2 linked regions of the Schizosaccharomyces pombe genome follow. The gene in region 1 interacts genetically with each later gene. Each region holds a gene or a part of one and is shown in the gene's direction. Other genes may lie near its edges. The genes, in order: alg10 and gls1.

Region 1 (9,752 bases):
GCAATCGGCCAGTTACCAAAATTTGTTAATTTATTGGTTATTGTTTTGAATGTCGTTTATCAATTCTACAATAGATTGTTTTCACAGGAACAAAATAGAAAATTAAAAAATGTTAAACGTTACGCGGAAAAATCGGAAATCTAATTATAGACGTATATCTCATTTTTAAAAAAAAGAAACAATTGGAATGCAAATAAATATCAAGTATGTTAACATTCATATGAAACAACTAATGAGAGAATGTTGACTGTTGAAAGTCAATGCTTTGAGGAATTAGAAGTCTATAAAGAAAAGATAGGAATGTATATTATAAAATCCCAAAAAATATTTAAACCATGCTGTTGAAAGAGAGTATTAAAGATTGATATCTTAAATGTCATAAAAGGAAAGCCCCAAAAAAAACCTAACGTACCAAAAAAAATTTGTACGATAACATCCTTCTATTAGCAGCTTATGATGCATTTGCATAATATAGCTCAGGATGGATGTCTTTTAAAGATCTCATTTTGTTAAAAACATCAAACAAAGATTGCCCATTTTGAAAATCGTTATCAACTATGACACAAAGGAACCATTCCTTCATCATAGAAACCAAAAGTTTACGAGAAATTGAATCAGGGCTATATGCATTAGCCCATTCCATGCCCAATGAATAGGCTTCATCTTTCCAAGCAAGAAAAGAGGTTGACTCGACAATAGTAGGTTGGATAATCTCACGATTAGGGAAAACACCCCATGTAACCGCATTTGGAATCTCATATTGTGAGTTGGTATCCAAGTCTCCATTCTTGTTTGTAACAAAGTAGGAAACTGAATTAAGCTTTTTAACGGTTTCTTTGAGTTCATTCAAGAGTGAGGGGTGAACGAAAAACTCAACGTATGGTTTTTGGAAAACATAACCATTAGGTGGTCCCCATCCAAAAACAGGATGTGAACTCTTTTCGCCGTTAAGAGCAGGTTGAGAATTTATAGTAAGGAAAGCGTTTCTATTCATACTTAGAAGTTGATCCCGAATCAAGTCGGCTTCATCGGATATGGGAAGATCACTCCAAGGGAGGGAGCTAATCTTTTTTTCACAGTACCTGGCAAACAAATCGCCGATTTCCGAGTAAGATTTAGGAGACCCCCACGATGTTGTGATCTCCTTGGGAGACATACGAAGACCATATCTAATAGCATCAAATTCGCCAAAAGCAGGGCTACGAGAGTCACCCCAACGACCATGCGGTAATTCGTCCCACTGATCAGTACGCGAGACATAACTTTCATTACGAGTGCGCCAGAAAATGGGCCGTACACCTTCATTTATCCGACGATCTTGACTGGAAGCATTGGTTAACTCGACGTTATTAGTATCCACTATAGGAGCCAAGTTTTCATCTAATAAACCTAATCGTTCAATAATCATTTTAACGGCCTTTTCTAAATTCATAGTGTAAAAATGAAGTCTCGTAATGCCACTAGCTATAAGCTTACGGCACATTTCGACTATGAGCTCAACACCACGCTCACGGACTCCTTCATCATCGTCTTTAACTGGGACTAGAGTATCCATAAAATGCTGGGGAATTTTAACACCGCTCCATTTCGCTCTCCGAATAAAGGAATCCCATGCCTGAATAGGCATAATGCCCGGAAATATAGGGATATTTATTCCTGCTGCACGCACTTTATCGACCCATGCGATAAAATTGTCTACATCATAAAACATTTGAGTAACGATAAAATCAGCACCTTCATCGACTTTTAATTTCAGATGCTTTATGCTTTCATCAATGTCATCATCTGGTGAATATCCTTCTGGATAGCCAGCTACACCAATACAGAATTCATCATTATAATGTGTGCGAATATATCTAACTAAGTCTGAAGCATACCGGAATCCACTTTCGCCTTCAGTCCAGTCTGTATCTTTAACAGGATCACCTCTAAGGGCCAATATGTTACGACACCCTGTTTCATGAGCCCGTTTCAAAGCTGCGTCAATCATTTCTGTGGACATGTTCGTACAAGTCAAATGCATGCAAGTATCCACTTCAAAATCTGTTTGAATTACATTAACGATTCCAGGAGTCAGTTCTGAAGAAGTACCACCAGCACCCCAAGTCACATCGACAAACATGGGACGACCCCAAGTCTTCATGCGATCTATACGATTGTAAAGATTTTGGACACCAGTGCTCGTTTTTGGAGGAAAAAATTCATAACTGTAAGTAACTTTTTCCTTCCAATCCGGGTGAAGTAATTTGTCACTTATTTTCATTTTTACCTCTCAAATTCAACAATGAACTACTGACAAAATAGCGGGCTCTTGGCAAAGTCTTTTTTTTCGTTTTCATTCCACTTTTCATGGTTTTGCCTCGTAATAAGTCGTTAATGAGCTATTATTATAAACCTTAATATACGTTAAACTGTCAGCTACGCAGTTTGGTATCTGATTTAAGGATACGTAGAACTGCGGCGAGTTTTCCTTGTGATCTTTTATATTACAATAAACAGGTTGTTTGAGTAGCAACTGAGTATAGGTATTGTATTAACTGGGTTATAATGTTACCTATCACTAATATAGCTCATAATTGAACTCAGAAACGAGGTTCAGCAGTAGCTCTATTTACAATCTTTCTAAATAGTTATCAACGGATATCTATGATATGATGTTGAACATGTGACATATAGTGATACGCAACGTAGTTGTCATATCGTAGTGCAGTATTGCTGACATTATTTAACAAACATACTAAGGCATAATATTCATTACAAGGAAGAAGATAAAACAAACGTCGAATCGGTATACCAAACGTAATATGATTGAACAATTTAAAAATGATCATTTCCCTCCTTGCAAAATTCATAGCTGCAATTTAAATGCGTTTTAAAGTACTCACAACGTTACTTAATTCAAGTATTGTTGACAAACAAATGTTTTAGTACGCTACTCATTTCCCATTCTGGTAATAATTTTCATGTACCATTTTTTAAACCAAAGTCGTGTTCGTGCTCAATGAATATCATTTGTAGTCTCCAGCCTTCGCTTCGCGAAAGAAGAGTTCACGCAATTTTAAAAAATTGACTTTGTAAGTTTGTAAGCGCTAAAAAAAATGAAGCATTTGGTCATTGTTTCATCCTTTAAGGCAACTAAATATGTGTGCTACATGAATAAGTTGCTGGAGCTACCTATAATTAATAATTACTAATATACTGGATGGAAAATTCTTTCTATTCTTTGACCGCGATGGATTAAATTCAAATGTTTTATCGATTCACAAGATACTCGTAATGTTGTCTTCAAAAATAAACGAATTTTGCTTTTTGTTTCAATGTGAATTTTGACTTACAAGTTAGAGGTACATATCAAATATAGGATGCTAATATAGCACAAGTTAATATTCTAAAAAAAAATCTAATAATTACTCAAAGTCTAACCCATGCACTATCAAAATAAATGATGAATGATTTGATATGACAAGCCAGCCAATAGATTACTCCATCAATTAGAATGTAGCATTTGGGTCTTTGGTATAGCTATATTTTTCATTATCAACGATTAGACACAGCCTGTGACTCTTGCTTGCTTTTGCGAATATTCACAGCTCTAACGAAACAGTTATTTCTGAAATATATAACCTATTTTCTCATGCGATATTGATAAACCTATCGTTCTTCCGTTAGTCCGTCTTCCGATTGACAAAGAGTAAACGTTTAATATTATATTATCCCAAAATTTAAAACAAAACCTATTATACAAGAGCCCCAAACCTTCTTATACCGAAAGACCAGTTCTTTCCTAAACAATACCTTGTTTATCTTCTTTTGTAAATGCAAGCACTTAATATGGGAGGGAGTTCTTCACATTTCCCGTGTACAGGTACTTTTTTGAACTCAAACAGAGTAAACATTTTGTTTTGAAGCTGAATGGACTTAGTTTCAAAGCCTAATTTTGGAAGTTCTTTAGCAAAAACTTCTCCACTCTTATCAGAGAATCTGCTTTTGATTTCAGCAACCCAAAGTAAACCACCGACTTTAAGAATACGATAAGCTTCTTTCAAAAAAGATTGCCAATTGGTGCCCATAAGACTTAAACAAAATACAGCAATATCGACAGTTTCGTCAGCCATTGGAACATTCGCAATATCACAGGCTACCACATGTTCATTGGGAGCAACAAGGTCAAAGCTGTGCACTTGCAAAGAACGTGATTTTCTAAATGTAGAAGCTATTTTAGCTTCTCCGCAACCGAGGTCAGCAATTACAATATTGTTTTTCTTCTTTGCGTTTGAATGCTCAAATCTGATCTTTAAATGTTGAATGAAAATATCAACAGGATTTTCCGGCCAACCTTCAACTTGATATCGAAAACCAGCGTGATAAATATCAAACAAATCTGGATTTTCCTTGAACATTTGTACAGCTTTGTCACTTTCCGTAGTGTACAATTGTTCATTTATCCATCGAAAATTGGCACCATCTAGTTTATCTTTCATTTTTTGTTGAAGAGACGTTAACTTAGTATGCTTAGCATCCCCCTTGTTTTTCTCTTTAATAGAAGGGACTGATTTTTCTTTTTTAATCTCGCTTTTCAGGGAATTGTTTGTGGTAACCGACTTTGCCTTTTTTAAAACTTTTTCGTTGAGCTTTTCGCCTTTATCTCCTACATTCTTTCTCTCACCTTTCTTTCTTTTTTTTTCTTTTCTAGATTCTTTCGTTTGGTCTGATGCGCTTTTACTTACTGGACCTAAGTCCCAATCTACTTTAAACATGAAGTAGGGAATAAGATTAAATTTGGTTGTAAGAAAACTTCATCCTACGTACGTCAAACCAATGAAACCATAAAAGTTTCTAAGTATTAAAATAAATAACATTCATTTTTTGTGAACGTAAAATTAAAATAACAAATACTTGAAAAAACTAATCTTGAAATATAAAACTCAGTTTGATTAAGCAATTACGCATATATATAGAATTTTTACTTTCTGATACAAAACACATAAAAAATGATATAAAACACATTAATTTGAAAGAATTCGTCTACAATAGTAGAACAGGACCGATCTTGAAAATAATCATTTCCCTAATTTTTATCATGACTAAAATCATTGATTATGTATATCCAATCTCCCCGAAATCGAATTAAGTCGTTAAAGGAGAAAAGAAGCAGCTACATCTAAATCTCCATTCGCAGCGTCTAACGCCTGCGCAGCCTCTAATGGATCAAATCCCATACTGACTAGCTGTGCAATTTTGGAGTTCAAACCGGGGTCAGTGGGAGGATTTACCAAGGAAGGGGGATTGGAAGATCCCTCATTGTTGGGTGCTACGCTTTCTTTGGTACCAAGACGAGTGCCACTTTGTGGATTAGGTGAAGAAGCGCTCGCCTTACTTGCAGGTTCAATACCTAAACCGTGTGCATTTGCAGATGGCTCCACATTAGCCAGCAATTTTGGAATTTCAGATTCTCCAAGAAAAGGAATTTCTTTTCCATGAATCCGAAGAACGTTATTTTCTAAATCTATACAAGCTTGATAACGGCGTAACATATCAAGACCAAGTAGCATATCAACATCCCGACCTTCAATAACAGTAAATCGACATGGAAGATATAAATCGCCAATCTTTAAAGGTGCACTGTGAACACAACCTAATATTTTAGCCATTCCTACGCCCTTAGCGACACCTTGAAATCTAGTGTCAAGAAGCCTGGTAAGACCGCACTTTTCAGCGCAATCAGCAGACAAAATGGTAGCTTGAGCACCAGAATCCACAAATGCTTTCACCTTATGACCGTTAATCTCAACGTTTACAAAAAGCATATAAACTTGACCAAACACTTCAGGATGGTTTTCTATTGCCGATTGCATATTCTCGGTCACGGCATTTTGACGAATCTGCTCTTCAATACGTCGTTGGACTTCAACATCAAAGAGGTCATCTTCCTACAAAAATGTTAGTAAATCACCTTCGAAAGCCCTTTATTTATTGTGTCCATTAAAACTAAATTATTGGACTCAGCAGTTTATACGGGCGCTATTATGCGAAATTAAACGTACAGAAAATGAAGGCATTCCCATCGAATATGTAGAAGAAGGAATCTGCAATAATTGAGAAGCATTAATGGACTGCCATGTAGTAGCAAACGCATTGGGATCATTAAGGACAGCAGCTAGTTGAGGAAACTCTGTGCGTATTCGATTTAATAGAAAAGGAGTTGCTAAAATCGTTTGACGAATATTTTCTGGTGTTAAATTATTCATTTTTGTGTTTTCTTAATCACTCTTTGAGGTTATGGTAGAGGAAGGACCTGATTTGGCAGCATGACACGACTTGACTAATCGGCCACCCATATCAATTGCCATCCATAAAGGAATGGCCAAATAAGGAAAATAAAAACTCATTATCATCCATTTTTTTTCAGCAAATAACTCGAACATGCAGCACCATGTCGTAGTAAAAGCATGCACCCCGTATATGAGAATTGCAACCCATAAAACTGGATCCCTCGCTTTCTTTCGTAAGCGTAGAGAAACCCAAATAAAAAAAGGAACTTGAAAGAAAAGTTCTGAAGAAAACAATGCAGTTTTCCAAGGCGCAGGGATTAAAAGAATAGGGTCTTCATATGTAGATAAATAAAAGCGTCGCAAACCAGAAAGACAGCTTAAAGAGCCTCCAAGCCATTCAGTTATAGGTAAATCAACAAATAATGCTGCAGCTAGATGGCTTACGAAATAATAGTAATACAAGGTATCCATGTGAAGGCGTGTGGTTGGCAATTTGTATATCTCACTACTATAAATGCGGCGTAATGAAACCACTTTCATGAACCCAAAACATTGATATTCCTCATTCAGAGATTTTGAATTGCTATAGAAAACAATTTTACAATTTTAAACGGTGACATTGAAAGTTATTAGTATTTTTAATAACAACTGCTTCTCTGCGTATTCTATATACGTTACTTAATAATGTATTATCGTGTTTGTTTTAGAGCACTACGTCTAAATAGTTTTATAAAAACAATACGTTAGATGTTACACTTACAAGCAATAGGAAGACGATTGTTTAGTTTCATATTGGTGGTAATCAGTATATCGAGTAATTTTGTGTGCCAATATTAAGTTAAAAAGCCTCAGGCAGATTTCATTAATTAGTTAGTATTACCGCTTAATTGCCTTCATGTACATGATAATGTTAGACCACATTACTATGAAATTTATCAAGTATTAAAATTTAAATGAAATTCAATGTTATCAGTTCTTTTAAAAAAAAATGATGCAATTAGCAGCCTAAATATAAAAAACAGACTCGTCACATTTCGTACTTAAGTGTGCATAATGTTGAATGGTTTTTAGAATGCTATCTTTCTCTAGATAACTAATAATAAAATCATGAAATTCAATTAATTTGATGTAAAAACATTGTTCTCCCACTCTTGCTATATTGTAAGCATTTGAATTCCAAACTTCCTGCCAACAACCTCAGCGAAATTTAATTCACACCTTTCGAAAAGTTGATCGTTTGTTTTGGAAATTGTGTTATAGGGTCTAAAACAAGCGAACATAAAAAGCTGTTTGTAAAAGGTGCGCCCTTTATCAAAACCTGATTTTCTTTATTCGTTTATTATAAACTTTCATTAAAGACCCAAAACACAGACAATGTTTCTTGGAAAAGCTATAATTCTAATACTATGGATTTTTCTAGCTTTTACAGGTCTTCTAGCTATACAATACTATGTTCCTAATCCTTACTTGGATGAAATATTCCATATTGCACAAGCTCAACGCTTTTGTAGAAAAGATTGGGATTGGGATCCGGCGATTACTACACCTCCTGGTTTATACTTGGTTTCAGTCGCACTCAGCCCATTTATAGGCTGCAGCAATGTATCTCTGAGGTTAATAAACTGGCTTGTAGGCGTAATTGGACTGCCATGGCTTATAAACGATATCGTTTCTCTTTTGAATAATAGGAAAGGAGATGTTGTTACCTATTTCGCTTATACGTTATCGTCATTACCTCCTTTATGGTTTTTCTCATTTTTATACTACACTGATATTGGTAGTACTTTTTTCGTCCTTCTTGCTTATGACTTTGCTCTCCGAAAGTCTGCTTTTTCAAGCTCTGTGTCTTGTTTTTTTTCTCTATGGTTTCGACAGACAAATATCGTTTGGATGGTCTTTATTGCAGTTACATATTTTGCTAGCAATATGTCTTTCTTCAATCCCCACTTAGCTGAAGCAACTTTTGCTGATGTTCTTCTTACTATAATTTCATTCTTAGGGGTTTTTCTTAAAAATTTAAGAAGATTTTCGTGCCCAATTCTATCCTATGGTGCAGTATTTTGTTCCTTCCTTGCATTTTTGCTTTGGAATGGCAGTATTGTCTTAGGCGACAAATCTCATCATCAAGCAAGCATTCATTTATCTCAAATAAATTACTTTCTGTGGTTTTTCTTTTTCTTTTCTTTTCCCTCTTATATTATAAAATATCTAATGTCCCATTCTCGACGCTCCAAACTTTTGTCCGCAGTCTTTTCTAAAAAATCTTTTTTGATCGTTTCTGTGCTTTTGTTGATAGCGCATTTTAATACGTACGTGCTAAATTGGTATTGTTTAATTTAACTAACGTTTAGAATTTTCCATCCATTTATTTTAGCAGACAACAGGCATTATTTATTTTACGTTTTCAACAGACTTTTTCGAATTTGGTGGTTAAAATATTTAGGCCCATTTTCTTATTTAATTTTATACTACTTTTTTTTGGATATATCCAAATTGCAAATGACCTCGCTCACGTTCTTTTTACTGATTTCAACAACAATCCTTACATTGGTACCGGCACCTTTAGTAGAATTTCGGTATTTCCTTTTACCCTTCCTTTTCTGGCGTTTTCATCTTCCTCTTCCGTCGGGGAGGGAATGTTTAATGGAATATGCTTTGCATATGGTCATTAATTCTGTCACCTTGTATATATTTTTATTTCGAACATTTATATGGCCATCCGAGCCAAATGCTCTTCAAAGGTTTATGTGGTAAACTATCTCATACGAAACTAAATCAATTCAATACTTTATATTATGTCAACTTCAAAAATGATTAATCTGATGAACCACATTTACTTGATTTAGTCGAATTTTTAGATCTATCTCCTTCTCTTTATTTTTAACTGTTTTAATGTAGGATTTTCTCTAAGAAGAAGTATTTGCGTTTTTTATGTATGTATTCGACATTGGTAAACAAGATATATAAAGGTGTAAATGATAGTACTACGTTTTCAGTAAGTTATATTTTGTATAACTCAAAGTAATTTAAAATCATGGTGCTCGTTGATTTTTGGTAGAGTTGGATACGATAACATCTCTGTTTTACCTAGAGCCAACAACAATGGAGACTTTCAAAACTCACATCACTGGGCAGTTTAATGCTACAGTTTCTTCAATCACGCCCTTCGCTAAGGTAAGATGCATTTGTTATATTGTATTGCTGTTTAAATCTTCAGTTAGTATTTGCGTTTTTATTACCCGCAGCCGTGATTTTATTTTTAAAGTGATCGTTTTAGTTGATTTATTCATTCCGATAAACAAGAATATCTTATTAACAGTTTATGTTAGAAAACCACTCATTATTTGCGTACAAAAATTGGATCAAGAGTCGAGGAAGTACGATAAAATAAAATGCACACGAATTAACATTTTTTCAATAGTTATCTCTTCCGGAGGATTATGTGGAATTGGAACAACAAGTTGATAGCTTGAAAGAAGC
Region 2 (18,656 bases), 2.1 Mb from region 1:
TTGATGAATTAATTCGGCATTCTCGGACGAACCAATGAACTTTAAATCCGTTATCATAAATGGGTCCCAGTATGGAGCGTTAATGTGTATACCAGCATTGCTAGCAAATAGGTACGTTTTTCTAAAAGCTTTAAACATAGAGATTTGTTGGGAAGAAGAAGCAGTTTGAACAGAAGTGAGAAAAAACAAAGAAATTAAAAGAAGAATACTGCGATAGTCAGATAGAGAATCACAAAGGGATATAAGCTCATTAAGAACATCAAATTGTAAATTTGACCAACCCCATTTTGTTAATTCTGGATTTAGAAGACTACCATCAGTTTTCAATAGGCCATATTCTTGACATATTTCAGATATCAAAGGTAAGATGTTACAGTAATGAGTGCTTTTAAAGGATTGTGCGGTATGCGAAGCAATAACCTCCGGATGTATTCCATTTTTTGAAGCATTTTGCCTACGCGTTTCTAATAGTACAGGTGTTAAACTCGCAACCAACTCACGCAACATCTTGACCCTTAACCGAGAAAATCCTATACTTCCAAGCATATTTGCCATAGCCCCGTATATGCGACAACGTTCACGAATTGAAAGAGAGTTAAGATGCTGTCCTTGGGCTCTCATAATCCATTGACAAATAGTTGCTTTATTTGGTACATACGTTGTAGCTTTTTTAACAGGTCTTATGGGGGCTTGAGCAATAATATGATCCAAAGCGTTGTCGTTAAATCCTTTACAACTATAAACAACTGTGAGTAAATGAGCATACCGTAGGATACTCTCGGAAAAACAGAGGCCGGGGACAGCATCATTAGGTTGAAGAGTGGATTTTTGATATAATTGATCAACTACGTTGCGCATTTCTGTGATAAAGTTTAATAGTGCATCAAATTTGAGTGGTCCAAAGGCATTCAATCTATCATTATAAGAAGGGAACATGGATAATATATTAGGAGGAATCTGGACGTCCACATGCAAATGAGCCATTATAACCAGACAAACAGTAAATAACTCCAACGAAAGTCCTTGCCAAAGAAAGTCTCCAGTTGCTTTAGAAAGCGCTATGGCTGTTGAGAAATGCTTCAACGCATTGGGAACTCTGCCGGCCAGCAAGTATAGCTGGCCAAATTGGTTCTCAATACGCCCCTTTGAGAGACTTTTGGATCGTTCCGTTACACTATTCACAGATCTTGATGTGATCGAGGGAGTTCTCGTCAAAGTAGGACGAGAAGATGAGCCTAAGGAGTGAATCGACGCATTAGAATTTTTCCTTTGCAAGGGAGCCAAATGTGGCATGTCAGTAATTGGAGAAAGGATCACGGAACGCGCGTGTATAGAAAACTCGAGCGAACTAAATCCTTCTAACAACTCAGCAGTGATATCGCATAAAATAGACCGCATTACGGAGTTTATTGAAAAATCAGACCTTGGTCCTATTATGATATTGGGAGCATTAAATATATTCTCTTTGTCTTCTGGACAATTAAATACGATGCATTTTGCAACTAACGCATGAGGTATCCTTCTCCGCCAAACATCCAAGGTAGAACATAATTGCTCAACTTCTTGTTCCTCTGACCCATCTACAATACCAATAAGAACGAAAACGCGCCGAAAATATTCAAATTCTTCTAGTAGAGCTTGTTGATCATCAAGGCTGGTTAGGAAATTGTACACCAATCTGCCCAACGGAAAAGCCAAAGGATTGAAAGAACTCGCTATTAAGATTAGTCAATAATCATAAAAATAAGAAACATACATTTTCTAGTAGCAGTAGCTACAGGGACATCACTCAACTGAATATGACTTACTCTGCGGAGTAATTGTAGGTAGGACGAGAAACTTTTTCTTCTAACACGACCAAAAGGAAGGACTAATGATTGAACTCTGGAAGGAGCAACAAACGAAAAAAAATCAAATTCCATAGCATCTCCAGCAATGTAATGTTTTGGAGCACGTACTGAGAACAAAGTGCTTGAATACCATTTAACGGATTACATCCATACCATCACTAATTTATTTTGCATATTTCTGTTGATTGTCGATCATAAGTCGGTAAAATAAACTTTTCAAGATGATATCGCTTAACAATTATCATTGTTGTGAAATGTCTAATATTTGTTATGCTTTGGAAATACCATTCTGCATATACAGCTGTACAGCTGTTTTCAGTAGATTATTTGGAATCAAAATATAATTACAACTCAATGAACTGGTTGCAGTAATTTTAATTAAGGCATGTGTAAATAATATGTAAACTATCTGAAGAATGTGAATCTGGCATTTCAAAAATTTAAAAATCCGTTTGTTTATGCGAACTTGACTTTATAGATTAGGAGGAGTATTTTGTAATTTTTTTCCTTTTTTACAATCGTTTGGTATTCATGAAAGAATCGTATATCTCGCCATAGCAATTTATGAAAGGCATTCTGAATGGCAAAAACTGTTGAATATTGAACCGTTTTGTTATTATTATTATTGCTATTTATTTTATTCTCAAAATGGTAAAAAAATAAGAGAGATTGAAGGAAATACTGGTGAGGATAACGTAATGTTTAGAAGCGTTACAGCAAGATGATTGTGTTTCAAGTCAACTTTCCAACTTCAAATATGAGCGCTACAAGTAGAGAAGGAAATAAGACAAAGATAGGAATAGTAGGAGGTAATTTTGGAGAACAACAGTTTCATAAATGATGAGTGAGCATGCTGACGATGATTTTTAGGTGGCATTATTGGAATTTGTACGGCGTTTTACTTAACAGAAGAACAAGAATACAAAAAAGGAGAATTGGACATATTTATATTTGAATCAAAAGAAATAGCAGGAGGTAGCTCCGGCATTGATTCTGCAATCTTGACAAAACTGTGCCAGAATGAAATCATACAGCCACTTTCAACTCTCGCTTTGAAGCTTTATGAAGGATTGGATAAAAAATTTGATGGGAAGAAAAACTGGGAATATAGGACTGCCAATTCTTGGTTTTGTAAGATGAAATGGGACAATACCAATGTTGCCAAAGTTCCCGATACTTTGCAATGGCTTCAACGAGAGCGCATGCAAAAATGTAAGCTCATAAGTGCTACCAAAAAAAAATAATAACTTTATTGTATAAGTCATATAGAGACTAACCATTTAGGTTCTAGTATCGGTTCCGGCAACGATTTTGCAATGATCAATCCAAAATTGTTTTGTCAATTTATGGCAAAAGAAATAGAAAAACGAGGAGTAAAGTTTATATTTGGAAGTGTGAAAGAGGTTAGTAAACACCATATTACATACGTTCCAAAACAAGAAGCTGAAGATACAATAATAAAAGCACAGGTGCATAAAACGCTGGTGAGTGCTGGGCCTTGGACTGGTTATCTATTACCATTTACTGGTATTGCAGGTCTATGCATTCCCATAATTCACCTATCGGTAGGAAATTTTCCCGTTGGCGACAGCATTGTTGTGTGTTGTTTAAATACCATGGGTAATCTAAACATTTGCAAAACAACCGAAATTTTCAGTAAAAACCGGGAGCAGCTTATTTTTATGGGAACTCCAAAATTCCATTTGCTGCCAAAAGATAGTAATCGATGTTTTTTTAATCCTTTTGAAATTATCGAATTGAAAGAAATGACCGATTTGGTGCTCTCGGAGAATACGAAGAGTAACTACTTAGACGCATCTTTTAAGTTCCTTCCTACCAGTAGAATAACAGGTATCCCGATAATATCAACAACCAAGTCTGGTGTATTTGTTGCAGCGGGTCACGCCAACTGGGGGATAACTCAAGCTCCTGCCACGGGTTTATGTATGGCAGAAATGCTCCTTGGCAAGGAAAAAACAAGCATAAACACAGATCCTTTTCACTTAAATCTCGGTGAATGAGGATTTCAAATTATATCCTCTAATTTTTGTTTTAATTGTTTGTCAAAAAAAACGAAGGACTCATTCACTGAAAGGTGAAAATATAGAAGCAGAATGGATGCTTATTCCTTTACCGAAATAGAATATTACAGTGTTGTAAAATTTTCTAATCATATTTATTAAGGTTTTCGTTTTTATCGCATTGGAAAATCGATTTTCTTTTTTTTTGTTTTACAATTTCCATCTCGACTTAGTATACCATTCGTTACCTCTAAGTTGATTGTTACTTGAGAACACTTGCTCGTGTTTTTACAATTCTGCTATACGCCAACAACAGTAAGACACTAACATTCCTCACAAAATGTCTTCTTATCGGGGATCAACTCGACCCAGAAAGAGGACGAGAGAGGGAGAGAATTATGGATTTCGTCCCCATAGAGGAAACTCTCAAGAGCTACTTGCAGCGCGTATAAAAAAGGATATTACCTTTTTGGCGGATCCTCGAGGAAATTCAGTAGCTGCTGATGACATTAATTATGTTGCTATGTCTCTTAGTCGTGAAGCTAATGATCCTGAAACCATTTCAACTATCTTAGATTGCATTCAGACAACGTAAGTGATAATTTATACTGTCCCTTCAGAAAACTAATTTAATCCTTAGTGCATTTATCATTCCAGTCAAAATACCTCATTTGGCTACATTAATTATAAGAGCCTCATTAAGGGTTCCTTTAATCTTAGAAAAAGCAGCTGCGTATTTTTGTTTACAGTATTTTACGAATTTAAACTCCTTTCTTTATTACGAGGCTAAAGTCGATCTACGAATGCTCATTTGCATGTCATTTGCACTTCAACCAGGTACCCTTAAGCCACTATTTTCATTACTGGCTGACGCTATCTCAAAAGAAACCAAACCCAGTGTCTGGGGAGATAATTTCCTGCGCATAATTTTGATAAACCTTCCATATTTCATCGCAGCTAACAACGATCTCGGTAAAAAGGATTTTGCTAATGAGATACTGGATCAATGTGAGATTTACGTTCGTCATAGGAAATCTTCGATAACTCTAAGTAATCCCCTTTCAATACATGACAATCTTTCAGAGGAGGAATTGGACTTACTCTATAAACAACTAATTCTATCTCGGGAAAACGACTTTACTTTTCCTTATATATCTCAACCCTGGAAGTTTTTTGAATCTGATTTCGTTCATATTGTTCCGGTTAGCCCAAGTATTCCTGAATGGACGTTTCAGCCCACTCCTCAGCAAAATGAGCTACCTTCCTTCAAGAGATTTTTTGAGCTTTTTAATAACTTTGAAATTCGCACGACTCCTGACGCTTCCGACGTTGCAGCCAGCATATTTCGTGATATAAGTGTGGATGTTATAAACCATTTGGAATTTAACCGAGTTGAGGCTGCTCAAGTTCTTACAGATTTAGATGTTTATTTTACCTACAAAACTTTTGCTCTTCGTGGTACTCCAGTAAATGAATTACCAAATTTAGATCCATCGGAATCACGTTGGAAAGCAGAAGATATCATAGTTGAAGCTGTTTTGGGTGAGCTTCTTGGTTCACAGAATACTACGTATAAACCTGTCTATTATCATTCGCTTTTGATTGAATGCTGCCGTATCGCTCCTAAAATTTTGGCTCCAACTTTTGGAAGGGTCATTCGGCTAATGTATACCATGTCTTCTGATTTACCTTTACAAACACTTGATCGATTTATTGACTGGTTTTCACATCACCTTAGTAATTTCAACTTTCACTGGAAGTGGAATGAGTGGATTCCTGACGTTGAGCTGGACGATCTTCATCCAAAAAAAGTTTTTATGCGGGAAACTATTACTAGGGAACTTATTTTAAGCTATTACACAAGAATTTCTGACTCACTCCCTGAAGAGTTACGTTGTTTGCTTGGCGAACAACCGTCGGGTCCCAATTTCGTGTACGAAAATGAGACTCATCCGCTATATCAACAGTCAAGTCAAATTATCGAAGCATTGAGATTACATAAACCGTTAGAAGAACTTGACATTATTTTGCAGAGCGAGGAGATTCAAAACTCCGAGACATCTGCTGTCCGATTAGTTATGTCTTGTGCTTATAGCTTGGGTTCGAGATCGTTTTCGCACGCATTGAACGTGTTCGAGAAACATCTTAATACATTGAAACATTTTTCTCGAAAATCATTAGATTCCGAAATAGAGGTTGTTGATGAACTTTTTTCATTTTGGAAATTACAACCGTTCAACGCAGTTATGTGGCTAGATAAAATGCTGAACTACTCTATAATTAGTATTACCTCTATTATTGAGTGGTTGATCAAGCAAGACGTGACTATATGGTCTCGTAGTTATACGTGGTCACTTGTTAACACCACTTTTAATAAATTAGCAGCTAGATTGCGGCGTTCGGTTTCTAACAAAGAAGACTCTTCGCTAATCAATGAAGCGAATGAGGAAAAGGAAATTGTCACGAATTTACTATTGTCAGCTTTGCGCGCCCTTATTTCCGAAAATGCTGAAAATATATGGGTATCTCATTGGCTTAACCTTATGTTAAAATATGTGGAATCAAATTTCCTCTCTGTTAAAAAGGACACGATAGAAGAAGCAAACGAGCCTGTTCAAGAAAATACCAGTGAGGAACAGGAAGACACAAAAATGCAACCCGTCGACGCAGTAGATGAGCAGCCATCAGAAAATAATCAAACAGCAGCTGATGCAACTAATGAGGAAAAATAAAGAAAGTAGTCTATAACAAAAATGAAGAAAGTGTTGTTTTGATATCAAAAAGATTAAACTGAAGAACTCGACTGGTAATCACGACGTTGTCAATCTGCTACAACGTTTGAACGTGGATATAGCTTATATTAAATATTTAATTATAACGTCCCATTTTCATAAGCACTTGTAGGACGCTGCTGCACTTCACAGTTAAGTTACTAGAAACGAAGATTTCAATTTTATAGGTAACAGGGTTATCAGATCTATCAGAGGTAACGGATATCTAAAGATAAGATATTTTACGATCGACTTGTCGGTTCTAGTTTTGCGTAGTGTCATACTATGTGAGCGAATGGATAAGCGAAATGTTCACTCACATCTCCGATATCAGAAGTGACTAAATCTTTTCTCAGTTTAACGAAAGGATTGCTAAAATGTAACAAAATCACTACTGCCATCAGTAACTTACACTTAACCAACCACTTTGTGCTATTGTAAGAAGTAGTGAGGAACAGAGGCAGTTTGGTGGATAGAACTAGGATTTAAGGGACATTTGCACAGCTACTCCTTCTCAACTTAGCTTCGTCGAATATTTCATTTACTTTAAAGGATAAAAAAACTGACACAATATGTTGGAAGTACGTGCTGCCGTAAAGGCACCTTTCAAGTTGGCTGCCGCAGGCCGTGGTTTCATGAATATGCGTATGGCTTCAAGCAAATCTTTTCAAAAGATCACTGTTAAAAACCCAGTCGTTGAAATGGATGGTGATGAGATGACGAGAGTGATTTGGAAGATCATTCGTGAAAAGTTGGTTCTCCCATATATGGACATTAAATTGGATTATTATGACCTTGGAATCGAAGCTCGCGATAAGACAAACGACCAAATTACTGTGGATGCAGCCAAAGCTATCCTCAAAAATGATGTCGGTATCAAATGTGCCACCATTACTCCTGATGAGGCTCGTGTGAAAGAGTATAACCTCAAGAAGATGTGGAAGTCTCCCAATGGTACCATTCGTAACATTTTGAATGGTACAGTATTTCGGGAGCCCATTTTAATCAAAAACATTCCCAAGTATATTCCTGGATGGACGAACCCTATTTGTATCGGGCGTCATGCCTTTGGAGATCAATACAAGTCAACGGACTTGGTAGCTTCAGGCCCCGGTAAGTTGGAACTTTCATTCACCCCTAAAGGTAATCCTTCTGCTAAAGAAACATACAATGTTTACGAGTTCAACGGTAGTGGTGTAGCTATGTCTATGTACAACACTGACGACTCTATTCGTGGATTTGCTCACAGTTCTTTCCAAATGGCTTTGCAAAAGAAAATGCCACTTTATCTTTCCACTAAGAATACAATTTTGAAAAAATATGATGGTAGATTTAAGGATACATTCCAAGAAGTATATGAATCTGATTACAAGCAAAAGTTTGAGGAACTAGGTTTATGGTATCAACATCGTCTAATTGATGACATGGTAGCCCAAGCTATTAAGTCCAATGGTGGTTTTGTTTGGGCATGCAAAAATTACGATGGTGATGTTATGTCGGATGTGGTTGCCCAAGCTTATGGATCCTTAGGCCTAATGACTTCTGTCCTCATTCATCCCAACGGTCGCACTTTTGAGAGTGAGGCTGCTCATGGTACTGTACAGCGTCACTACATGCAATACTTGAAAGGTAAGAAGACTTCAACCAACAGTATTGCCTCTATCTTTGCCTGGACTCGTGGTCTTGCCCATCGTGGTCGTTTAGATGGCAACGAACGTTTAGTTAAGTTTGCCAACGCCCTCGAGCATGCTTGTGTTCGATGCGTTGAGAAGGGTATTATGACAAAGGATCTTTACCTTCTCAGCAAGTCTCCCAATGGTTATGTTGATACATTCGAGTTTTTGGATGCCGTCAAGTCCGAGCTCGATTCGGAATTGGTCAACATTGCCTAATTTTAGTGTTAGACCTGTTGATTAGTGAGTCTTTGAAGTTTAAGTTCTGGATTATTCAATCATGTTTTTACTAGGATACTTTTTGTTAAAACAATTATTTTGAAGTGTGTGCATTTATATTATTTTACAATTAACAGTGGAGTGTAGGAAGTCATTTCTATTAATCATGAAATTTTGTAAATTTTTTATGCATATTCAGACCATGACACTATTATCTAATTTTTTTCAATTTTTTCCCCTTAAACGTAAAGGAAAAAGCTGAATGATTATTCATTTATTCATTGAAATCTTTCGGATTTCTTGCCGTTTATTGACTACAAATGTATCTTGATTCTTTAAAGCTTTGCTTCAAACCCACTTAAACATATTTATCTAGCAATTGATTGAGCCATAACAATTTAGGTAAAGGTCTAATATTAAAATTCAACAACTGAGCTAATAAACTAAACAATTGATGGACGTAAACCCCAACTACATTAAATGTATATCACTATGGAAATGCTTTCTATTATGTTCGAATACAATGAAGTTGTAACAAATATCATTTTAAAAACTGCTACTACTTAATTACTTGTAATTTCTGTTAAACTGATAAATAAAGTAAGCCTTTGTTCTTAGCTCCAAATGTTTTACGCAGCCAAATCTTACGCGCTGCAGTGTGGCTGTGAGCGTTTGGAAAAAACTTAACGTAGCATTCATAATGCTAGTTAAGACACTATAATGTGTTGGATGCCAGAGGAAGCATGCTAGCCATGCAATACACACTAACCAAAACAAAACACTGGCCATCATCAGTCTTTTGCTAGCACAAACGATGGTGTCAGACATGCTTGGCGGAAATAAGAGATGGATTTTATTTGGACTCTTATCGTTTCTATTGAACTGCGTACTTGTCTCGTGTAGTGTTGAAGACATTGAGAAAGCAGCGAATGATTCGTTTTTATGGGGTCCGTATAGGCCAAATTTATATGTTGGAATTCGTCCTAAGATTCCTGATTCGTTAATGACAGGACTTATGTGGTCCAATGTTGATGACTATGCTAGATTCTCAAGTATGTCGCGTTTGCAGCTGGACATACATATAGGTATTAACATTATTTAGAAATGAGACACAGTGCCGAACATGGAGATGATATTGGTGCCTTTGGATGGAAGCATTACGATGTTCGTCGGGGAGGACAGCAAGTGATCGATGATTTTCTCATGGGTATCAAACTTGAAACTGATTTTGTCAAGTTACCCGAAGGAAATTGGGCTCTTCGTGTGCACGGTATTCCTCTTCCTGGAGCACCAACTGACCTTACTACTTCTCTGTTTTTTTACGCGTATGTTGAGGGCGAGGGTAAAGTTGGTACCAAGGTTAACCATGCCAATCACGTATATATGGAAGGAAAAACCCCCGACCTCGGAAAGTTTCGTATACAGACGTTTAATCGTCTAGGTGAGCATCCTGTATCTCCTGCGTCTGTAGATTTGGAATCCATGGTTATGGACAAAGATTTTTTCGCTGGATTCAATGTAAAAAAGGAGGGAGCATGGCGAACTTCTGAGCTTATCCTGTACTTATTGGACACTAAAATGAAAGTGATTAGTGACAAGGAAGGATATGAATCCCTGAAAGATCTTCCTCCTGCATACAGTACTTTAACTTTACCCAACCTTCCTTCAGAAGAAGGCTTGCAATTCATCCAAAAGGTATTTAAAGGCGAGTTCATGTTCGATATCGTTTTTAATTACGCTTCTTCCAAAAAAATTTCTGAAGAAATGATTTCACAAGCTATTGATAAGAATCTCCAAGAATTTGAAGAAAAGTTTCAAGCTACCTTCCCTTTGAAGGCTCCATATGATACAGAAAAGGCTCATCAAATATTTGCTCACACCGCTTTCTCAAATCTTTTTGGTAACGTTGGATTCTTTACTGGTGATTCAATCGTTAGTAAAAACCCCATTGAACTAGACGATGAAGACTACGAGTTCATGCAAGGATTTGAAAGTGCTGCTGGCAAACTTGCCGAAGGTACTGCGTTTCATGACATTGAAAGAAGTTTATTTACCATTGTTCCTAGTCGACCTCATTTCCCACGTGGTTTCTATTGGGATGAAGGATTTCATCTTTTACCCGTAGGACTTTGGGATAACGATTTTAGTCTTGAGATCCTCAAAAGCTGGTTTTCATTGGTGAACGAAGATGGGTGGGTAGGCCGTGAACAAATCCTTGGTGAAGAAGCTCGAAGCAAGGTTCCCGATGAGTTTCAAACTCAGTATCCCGATATTGCTAATCCACCCACTCTGATCTTGGCCTTAAAAGGATATATTGAAAGACTTCAGGAACAACAAGGAAAACTTAATAATCGTTTTAGTGGTGAAGGTGAAGACTATTCCTTGGATGATCTTGAATACCTTCGTTCTGTCTCCATTTCTAACCCTGAAAAGTCTGTACAGTTTCTTCGTGATCTTTTTCCTCTTCTTCTTCGTCACTATGAGTGGTTCCGTGAAACACAAAAAGGAGATTTCGAAACCTGGGAACGGGAATGCTTTTCTCAAGTTGAAGGCTATCGCTGGCGTGGACGTACTTATCAGCATTGTCTGGCAAGCGGACTGGATGACTACCCTAGAGCTCAACCCCCTAGTACTGCTGAGCTTCATGTTGATTTACTCAGCTGGATGACTTCATTTACCAGAAGTTTACATTTTGTCGCTGAGTTTTTAGGCGAAACCGAGGAAGCAGAGAAATTGGCTGGCTATGAAAATGCAATGCTTCGAAACCTCGAAGACAATCATTGGGATGAAGAAGTACAGGCTTACTGTGATTCAAGTGTTGATGAATACGATGATCCTATTAATGTGTGTCATAAAGGATATGTTACTCTACTGCCAATGATGCTTGGTTTGCTTCCTGCTGATAGTGGTAGGCTTACTAGCTTGTTGAAACTTATTAGGGACGAAAATGAGTTGTGGTCTCCTTATGGAATCCGAAGCTTAAGTATGAACGATGTTTACTTTGGAACCGGAGAAAACTACTGGCGAGGCCCTATATGGATTAATATGAATTATCTCATCCTTAGTAGTTTATATCAAAATTACATTAATACCCCTGGTCCCAATCAAAATCTTGCAAGGTCGATTTATGAAGAGCTACGTACTAACGTTGTAAATAATGTTTTTGAGAATTGGCGCCAAACCGGTATTTTCTGGGAACAATACGATCCCACCACTGGTAAGGGTCAACGAACCAAGGACTTTACTGGATGGACCAGTCTAGTTGTTAACATTATGTCTGAAAATTATTGAGAATGATAATTATTGGATTATTTTCTTTATGACTTGTTCATATTTTTAAACTTTCGAGAATAGAAAATGAAAAGTGATTATTTTGTAATGCTCATACTATTAGAAAGGTCATATATAAGCCTAAAAATTTTTTTCGTCGCACGCATTGCGAACTGCGTTTCGTATTTAAGAACAATCATCAAAAAAAACAAAAGGAAATAAACATATTAAACGGGAACTTTTAAGAAATTAAGAGAACACTAGAATTGATCGAATTAATGTACTTTCGTTTCAACTTCCTCCATCATTTGGGGAGTGTTCACGCCTTCTTTCGTAGCGGTCGTCTCTTTTTGAATGATAATTGGTGGTACTATGCCTATGGTGCCTAGATAAATGTGTACGGTAAGGTTCGTGACGACGATGAGAGCCATGTCGATGATTGCTTCGTGTTCTTTCTTTTTCCTTTCTTCTATGGCGGTTAGCCGGAGAAGTTGACCTTGATCGGGAGGTACTATGGGCAATGCTTCTGGAATCTTTTTCAGTATTTGTTGAAGAGCGGTTTGCGGCTTTTGACGACGTTAGTGCGAGAGCAGAAGGCTGCGGAAGACCCAAAGCTTCTGCAAGCATCCTTTGCTCTCTTTCTTTAATCTCTAAAATTTCTTTTTTATACTTTTCTTTATCAGAATTTTCCGAATTTATAGCAGACTGGGTGGTTCTACCTTTAGACCACCACTCCAAATCCTTACCCTCAGCCCAACGACCTGAGGCGGCATAAATAGATTGACCCAAATATCTTCCTTTCTGTTTATCATTTCTCACTTCTTCCCATTGGAATTGGGCTTGACCACCACGTGTACCGGCACCAGACGGACCCATGGTTCGAAATAACTAGTTAATTATTGTAACGATAGACGTTAAGCAAGAAGTAAACGGATTCAGACGAAAAATCGCAAAATGTTTGAATTAAAAACTGCGCTACCAGTGTCTGATTGAATTAACTTAATAATAAAAATAATTGAGTGGTAAATAACTGTTTTTGAAATATTGGGTCGTTTAAATCAAAGTTTTTAAGTTGGGGTGGAATATTGATTTTTTTTTTCTTAACAATAGCTCTAAATTTGATTTCAAAGATTAAATAAATATCAAAATTAACCAGTTTAAACAGACTTTTTTACTCCTAGGTTGTAGTCGCGTCTGCGTGCTATTAAAATGTTAATAATTCGTAGTATATCCAATGAAATAACGATGGTTTAAAATTCGCTAAATGGAAAGCAGATAGTACTAACCAAGGCTTTCAATTCAATGAAGAGCCTTTTTTGTTACTCTCGTTCAAAGATATAGAATATTTTTTTTTTTTTAATATAAAGGCTAATTTTTCGTTTTAACATAGTTGCATGCAAAAGAAATTTATTTAGATATTGGTTGGAATGATTTTTCGACGACCAAAAAGTATTCGCATGCTACTTGTATGTAAAAGTTAGGTTGTATTAATCGTAACGACTACACATGAATTTGAAGAAATCTTCTTTCATTCTCTAATTCTGAAAAAAAGTGAATTGAGCAAAATAGTACTCCACGAGTTGCTAATGTGCTCAGGTACTATTCAAAACGATCACTGAACCAAGTGATGAATCTATACTCATTTTGAACAATTTATAGTCTCATGCATCTACTTATAAAATTATTTTTAAAAGTTTTACAGCTTATTTCAATCTTAATATTCTACAATTACTGCTCATGATGATATGTCTAGACCACAGTAGAAAATACTATTTCATTCAAGTTTAGTTTTCCAACTTAAGAGTCAAATGGCATCTACCACAGTAAAGGCGGTCCTTGTGGTTGGCCATGAAGGTGGACGCACCACAGTTGGGACACTCACGACGAAGACGCTTAACGCTTCCATCATCCTCAACCTTGTAGTATTTGAGGACGGCGAGCTCAACCTTCTTGTGCTTGTGCTTGATCTTCTTGGGAGTAGTGTAAGTCTTCTTTTTACGCTTCTTACCACCACCACGAAGACGCAAAACGAGGTGAAGAGTGGACTCCTTTTGGATGTTATAATCAGACAAAGTACGTCCGTCCTCGAGTTGCTTGCCAGCAAAGATCAAACGTTGTTGATCAGGAGGAATTCCTTCCTTATCTTGGATTTTGCTCTTGACATTGTCAATAGTGTCAGAGGATTCAACCTCAAGGGTAATGGTCTTACCCGTAAGGGTTTTTACAAAGATCTGCATCGTCAGCAAAGTATTGCCTCTTCCTCGCGGATGGAGGAAAATATTGATGTTGCATTGTGATATATGGATGCGTGACTGGTTTTAACTCACGTAGGTTAGGGTGTAACGCAAGTTTCTCGTACTGAGAATTAACGTTTGCGTTAATTATATAACACAATTTAACATTTCTCACAATTTTTAAAATCGTAATGCTGAAATGAAAATCCTGATTCCCTTGTATTAATATCGACAGTTTGTCACTAATTGATGTCAATTATATCCTATTGAATGATTCATATATGGTGATTTAGTGTAGTAAAGGCTTGTAAACCTGTGATTTTGTGTTTGCATAAGCTACGACGAGTTTTCGTATTTTTTGGTTCTTTGCAAATAGAAATGAATTATCTTTTCTCTTGCCGACAAAATTTCCTCCAATGACCAGCAATAATAGTTAAAACAATCATTGGTTTCTCTGTTTAAGTCATAGTGATTAATTTGTTGAATTATTATTATCATAATAAATGCTTGCTTGGCAGCATACTACAACCACTGTTTTCCAATGAAATACTTCGCATACTATAGTAATTAAATACAAGTTTTCCCTAGAAATACCAACTTAAACATATGTTGACTAAACATCGGTGCGAGTGAAAGCAAACACTAATTCTTACTCATGTATCCAAGTTGTTTGTCAGGTTTGGGGAAACTAGTTTTACCATTTCAGCCGTTCAACGATACGAACAACTTCATAGTTGTATTTCCATTTCACAAAGATTAATCTGTAGATTTTAGATGATGCAGAGTTATACACAATACTAGGGTGATGAATAAATATACAAAAGACAGATACAAGTTGATAAATTATCAAAATTGTCACAGCATTAGTTCATGTACGATGCTTGAATTTGAATTTATATAAAAGCAAATTAAAAACAATAATATTAGTAAAATTAAAAAATCCCAAAAAAAAACCAAACATAACTCATTATAATGCAATGCGATGCAAGTTGTACAGCTGTCATCATTAGTGCTGTCTGCGATCTACGCCGCCAACACATATATTTCTCTGCTTATGCCGATTTAAGGCATCAAGTCGGTTAAATCTCTTTAAGCATTCACATACATATGGCCTGCCATTTTCGTGAATCCTCAGATGACGCTTAAGATCGTGGTGACGAACAAAGCCAGCTTTGCATAAGTCACAGCGATACGGACGGTCGCTCAGATGTGTTTGAATATGCGATTCAACATTATATTTGCGAGCAATACGTTTATTGCACCCGTTGTACAAACAGACGTACTTTCCATCTGCTTCAGGGCCGCAATATAAGCTAGCCATTGTCTCCGGAGGAATTCTACAAATCCTAGTTGATTGCTTGCGAGTTTTGCATCTATGATCGTATGAAATTCTGACCGGAGGTTTGGAATCATGCTCGGTGACTTGAGGAGTAATTGATAAATCAGCAGATTCAATTTTTGGAGCTAATTGTTCTTCTTCCTTGACAGTGATACAAGGTTCAGGTTTCTTGGTAACTATGCAAGATTCATAAGGTGCACTTAATGCAAACTGCTGTGTCAAAGTGTTGTTGATATTTGCGTTCGATATGTCAAGTCCATGATCGCAAACGGATGAGAATTTTTCAAATTCAGAAACGTATTCAGCAGGTGATGATAACTTTGCAAACGCTTTCTGGTTGTCAGTATGCCTGCATACATCCAAATGGGAAAACGAAGAATCTAGAGCAAAGGAGGGCTTTTGAGGCGAAGTGGGCTCTAGCTTTACAAGTTGGGCAAATGGGGATACAGGGGAGATATTAGGTGCAGTCTCTGGACTCGATAAGTCTACAGGATGTGCCGGACTTGGTTGGGATATTTGAAAGTTCAATTCTTCAAATGAAGGCGCACCGTTTATCTCATCTAATCCAGGGGGAGAGGATGGGAGGAACATAAACTCATTAAATGATTCCAATTGCGAAGAGCTGGGAAGAACGGAAGAGGCAGGACCCGAGGTTTCAGGTATACTTGAGGAAAGGTAGTCGAAATTTTCGAGGTGATCTTTGTTGGAGCAAGTTTCCGTCTTTATTTCTGGTATGTCAAACTCAGGAAACGAAAGGACTTGTTGTTGAGAGTCCAGCTCATCAATCCAATTTGATGCATCATAACCAATTTCGGAAAAGGCCTGTTGAGAGTTGGTCAAGGAAAATGCGTCATTGTTATTAAAATTTTGCTCGGTATGGATTTGTGATACGCAAGTTAAAGGCGAGGAAGGGGGTGATAAGGAAGCATCAAAGGAGGATGCATACGAGTGAGAGTCGGGGAGCGATATTTGGTTCGATAAAAAGTATGCAGAATTCGCTTCCAACAAAGGGTTAAACGGTGTTTTTAGAACAGAACTATAGTCAAACTGATCTTGAAAGTTCTGAAGATGAGAAGGCGGTGAAGGGATAACAGCTTGATTTAAAGACACCTCATTTTCAAAGGGAGCGAAGGAGGAAAAAGAAGTATGCTTGCTATCGCCAAAAGTTTCATAATCCCTTTGGTACGAATGATTACAAGCTGGACTCTCTTCTTGTCGAAATGATTCAAACGACTTTTGCGAAGAAGATGATAAATATGAAAGCGACATTGTCTTGTTTACTTAGGATAGCGAGTATCTAGTGCAATGCGTAGAGAAATCAAGGAGAGAACGATGAGAGAAATGACTCTTGAAAAGAGTGCTTGATAACTTGAAGTGAGATGAAAGTGTGGCTCAAAGCCAGTCTAACCCAGTAGATGATTGAACTAATCACTCTTCGATTTTTTTTTGTTTGTTACAGCAATGTTTGGTGCGCTGGCTATTTGTTTATATCAAATAGCTACTCCGTTGCTATGACGACAATTGTTGAATTTTATGCTTCACTTTACCGCAAAACAAGTCACTATTTGTTTACATTGCATGGATTACCGAACCATATCACAACAACGCAATACAAGTGTAAACACAGACCCAGGGATTGTTTATTTACCTTTTGTTGCCAAAGGGACAAATCAACTATTTTTTGAATTAAACCAGTAAAAGGTTTGATTGAAAGACACTACCACTAATAAACAGGATAATCACGGCTATGAAAATGTCTACGCTTCAACAACTGGATCATGGATGATATTAGAAAACATAGATTAAGTATGACAAGCCAAAAAAAAACGGTAACCAACCTGAAAAAACGACAACGACGTTGAGATCAAAAACCTTAAGGTATTAGTATTAGTATAGAGCTAGCAAGAGAAAAAATGCCATGGAAAAGTTTTTAAATGCAATGAATAAGTTACTTACAACACTGACAATCAAAAGGGCAATCCGGTGTACCTCCACCTTGGCCAATGTTTAATTCCTCCTCGTCATATACAAGAAACCCTTCCTCGGTACGCTTTCCTAAAACACAAAACGTTAATACAATTACTGATGATAAGGAGAAAAGTGCCGTTGCTAGGTAAGTATTGCATCGTTCGGCAAACATTCCCGTAAACAGAATAGCGAATAAGGTTCAATACCACACAATAGAGCTTAATGATTTGGAGTCTCCACCAACACTAAACATCATTGTGAAATGTATCTCCCTAGAAAAACGTAATCTAGCTCTAGCAGTATATAATAAATAAATAAGTATATAGCACAGTTCGAAGTTTCTCAATCTTTTAGACAATAAATATGAATTTGAGGTCAAAGAATTGACAAACAACGCGGATGCCAAACATGAACGAATGCAATCATTAACCAAGTAGCGAGAACGTATGTAAGGATGAACTATCAAACGGCAAAAAGTGTCTTACTTCCTGAGGCTCCCTTTGGATCTAAAAATAAATCGTCTTGGTTATTAGTAGGTTTTGGACGACTTGGAGTAGATTTTGTCTTGGCTCCTTTCTTAGGGGCTTTCGCCTCCGACTTTGAGTCATTTGACTTTTCATTTGCAGGGTTTGCCTTTTTAGAAGCAAAAATGTCGTCGATTTCCATCTTTTAAATACTCGTAGAGAGGAGTTTGCCAAGTCAATGGCAATTGTATAATTGAGTAGAGAGACAGTTTGTTGTAGCTTGCAAACTTGCTAGAAATTCTTTTGCGGTACCGTGCTTCATAAAATAAGAATTCTCTAAAATGCTTAAATCTGCATAACGTATTCTCTCGTATTACGGTAAAGAATTTGTAATATTTATAAGAATGATTCTTCAGAAGAAACTTGTACCAGCATTAAGGCATGAGATTGATCGATTCCTTTTTTTTCCTTTGGTTCTTTATTATGTTTAAAATTGTTTAATTTTGTTTAGAAGCTGTATCACCTCTGTCATCGGTATTTCGAAACGGCAATAAAATGTAGACAATTCTTTGGCCAAGCTTTCTTTATAAAAGCATATTTAGGTCAACTCTATCCTAATACCATAAATTAACACTTTTTGTCTTCATTTAAGAAGCGAATTATTGCTGTATCAAATTAACAAATGCAAAATCTCATTGCTTAATAAACGAAATACTTTAGTAATTAAGCATAAGATAAAAATAAAGTGAATACTATTTGACAATGAAAATCAGCTCAAAACCTCTGTCAATTCTTTTTCAGCCTAGAAACCACCTTAGAGAAATAAGGCAAAACATTTGAATACAAA

What was found.
Region 2: of alg10 (region 1) and gls1, a mutation in one rescues a mutant of the other (synthetic rescue), as found in Schizosaccharomyces pombe (one study listed by BioGRID).

What each region holds. Positions count from the first base shown.
Region 1 is NC_003424.3:1,135,626-1,145,377, reverse strand, and holds alg10 (dolichyl-phosphate-glucose--glycolipid alpha-glucosyltransferase Alg10), read left to right. Parts: upstream 1-7,459; 5' UTR 7,460-7,646; coding exon 7,647-8,581; intron 8,582-8,623; coding exon 8,624-9,026; 3' UTR 9,027-9,182; downstream 9,183-9,752. Other genes in the region: methylenetetrahydrofolate reductase Met9, read right to left, coding at 452-2,263; rRNA methyltransferase Rrp8, read right to left, coding at 3,801-4,757; UBA domain protein Mud1, read right to left, coding at 5,136-5,930, 6,045-6,248; protein ema19, read right to left, coding at 6,261-6,812; mug64 (BAR domain-containing protein), read left to right, coding at 9,375-9,446, 9,602-9,649, 9,694-9,752.
Region 2 is NC_003424.3:3,224,322-3,242,977, forward strand, and holds gls1 (glucosidase I Gls1), read left to right. Parts: upstream 1-9,300; 5' UTR 9,301-9,348; coding exon 9,349-9,586; exon of another isoform or gene 9,587-9,636; coding exon 9,637-11,825; 3' UTR 11,826-12,095; coding exon of another isoform or gene 12,096-12,680; 3' UTR 12,681-12,960; downstream 12,961-18,656. Other genes in the region: TRAPP complex subunit Trs120, read right to left, coding at 1-1,715, 1,757-1,922; tda3 (FAD-dependent amino acid oxidase), read left to right, coding at 2,608-2,659, 2,721-3,062, 3,135-3,871; cbc1 (nuclear cap-binding complex large subunit), read left to right, coding at 4,212-4,462, 4,512-6,603; isocitrate dehydrogenase Idp1, read left to right, coding at 7,215-8,534; SPOM_SPAC6G10.10C (uncharacterized protein), read right to left, coding at 12,096-12,680; ubi3 (ubiquitin-40S ribosomal protein S31 fusion protein), read right to left, coding at 13,589-14,041; DNA-binding transcription factor Ace2, read right to left, coding at 15,045-16,646; SPOM_SPAC6G9.01C (uncharacterized protein), read right to left, coding at 17,242-17,249, 17,334-17,432, 17,831-18,011.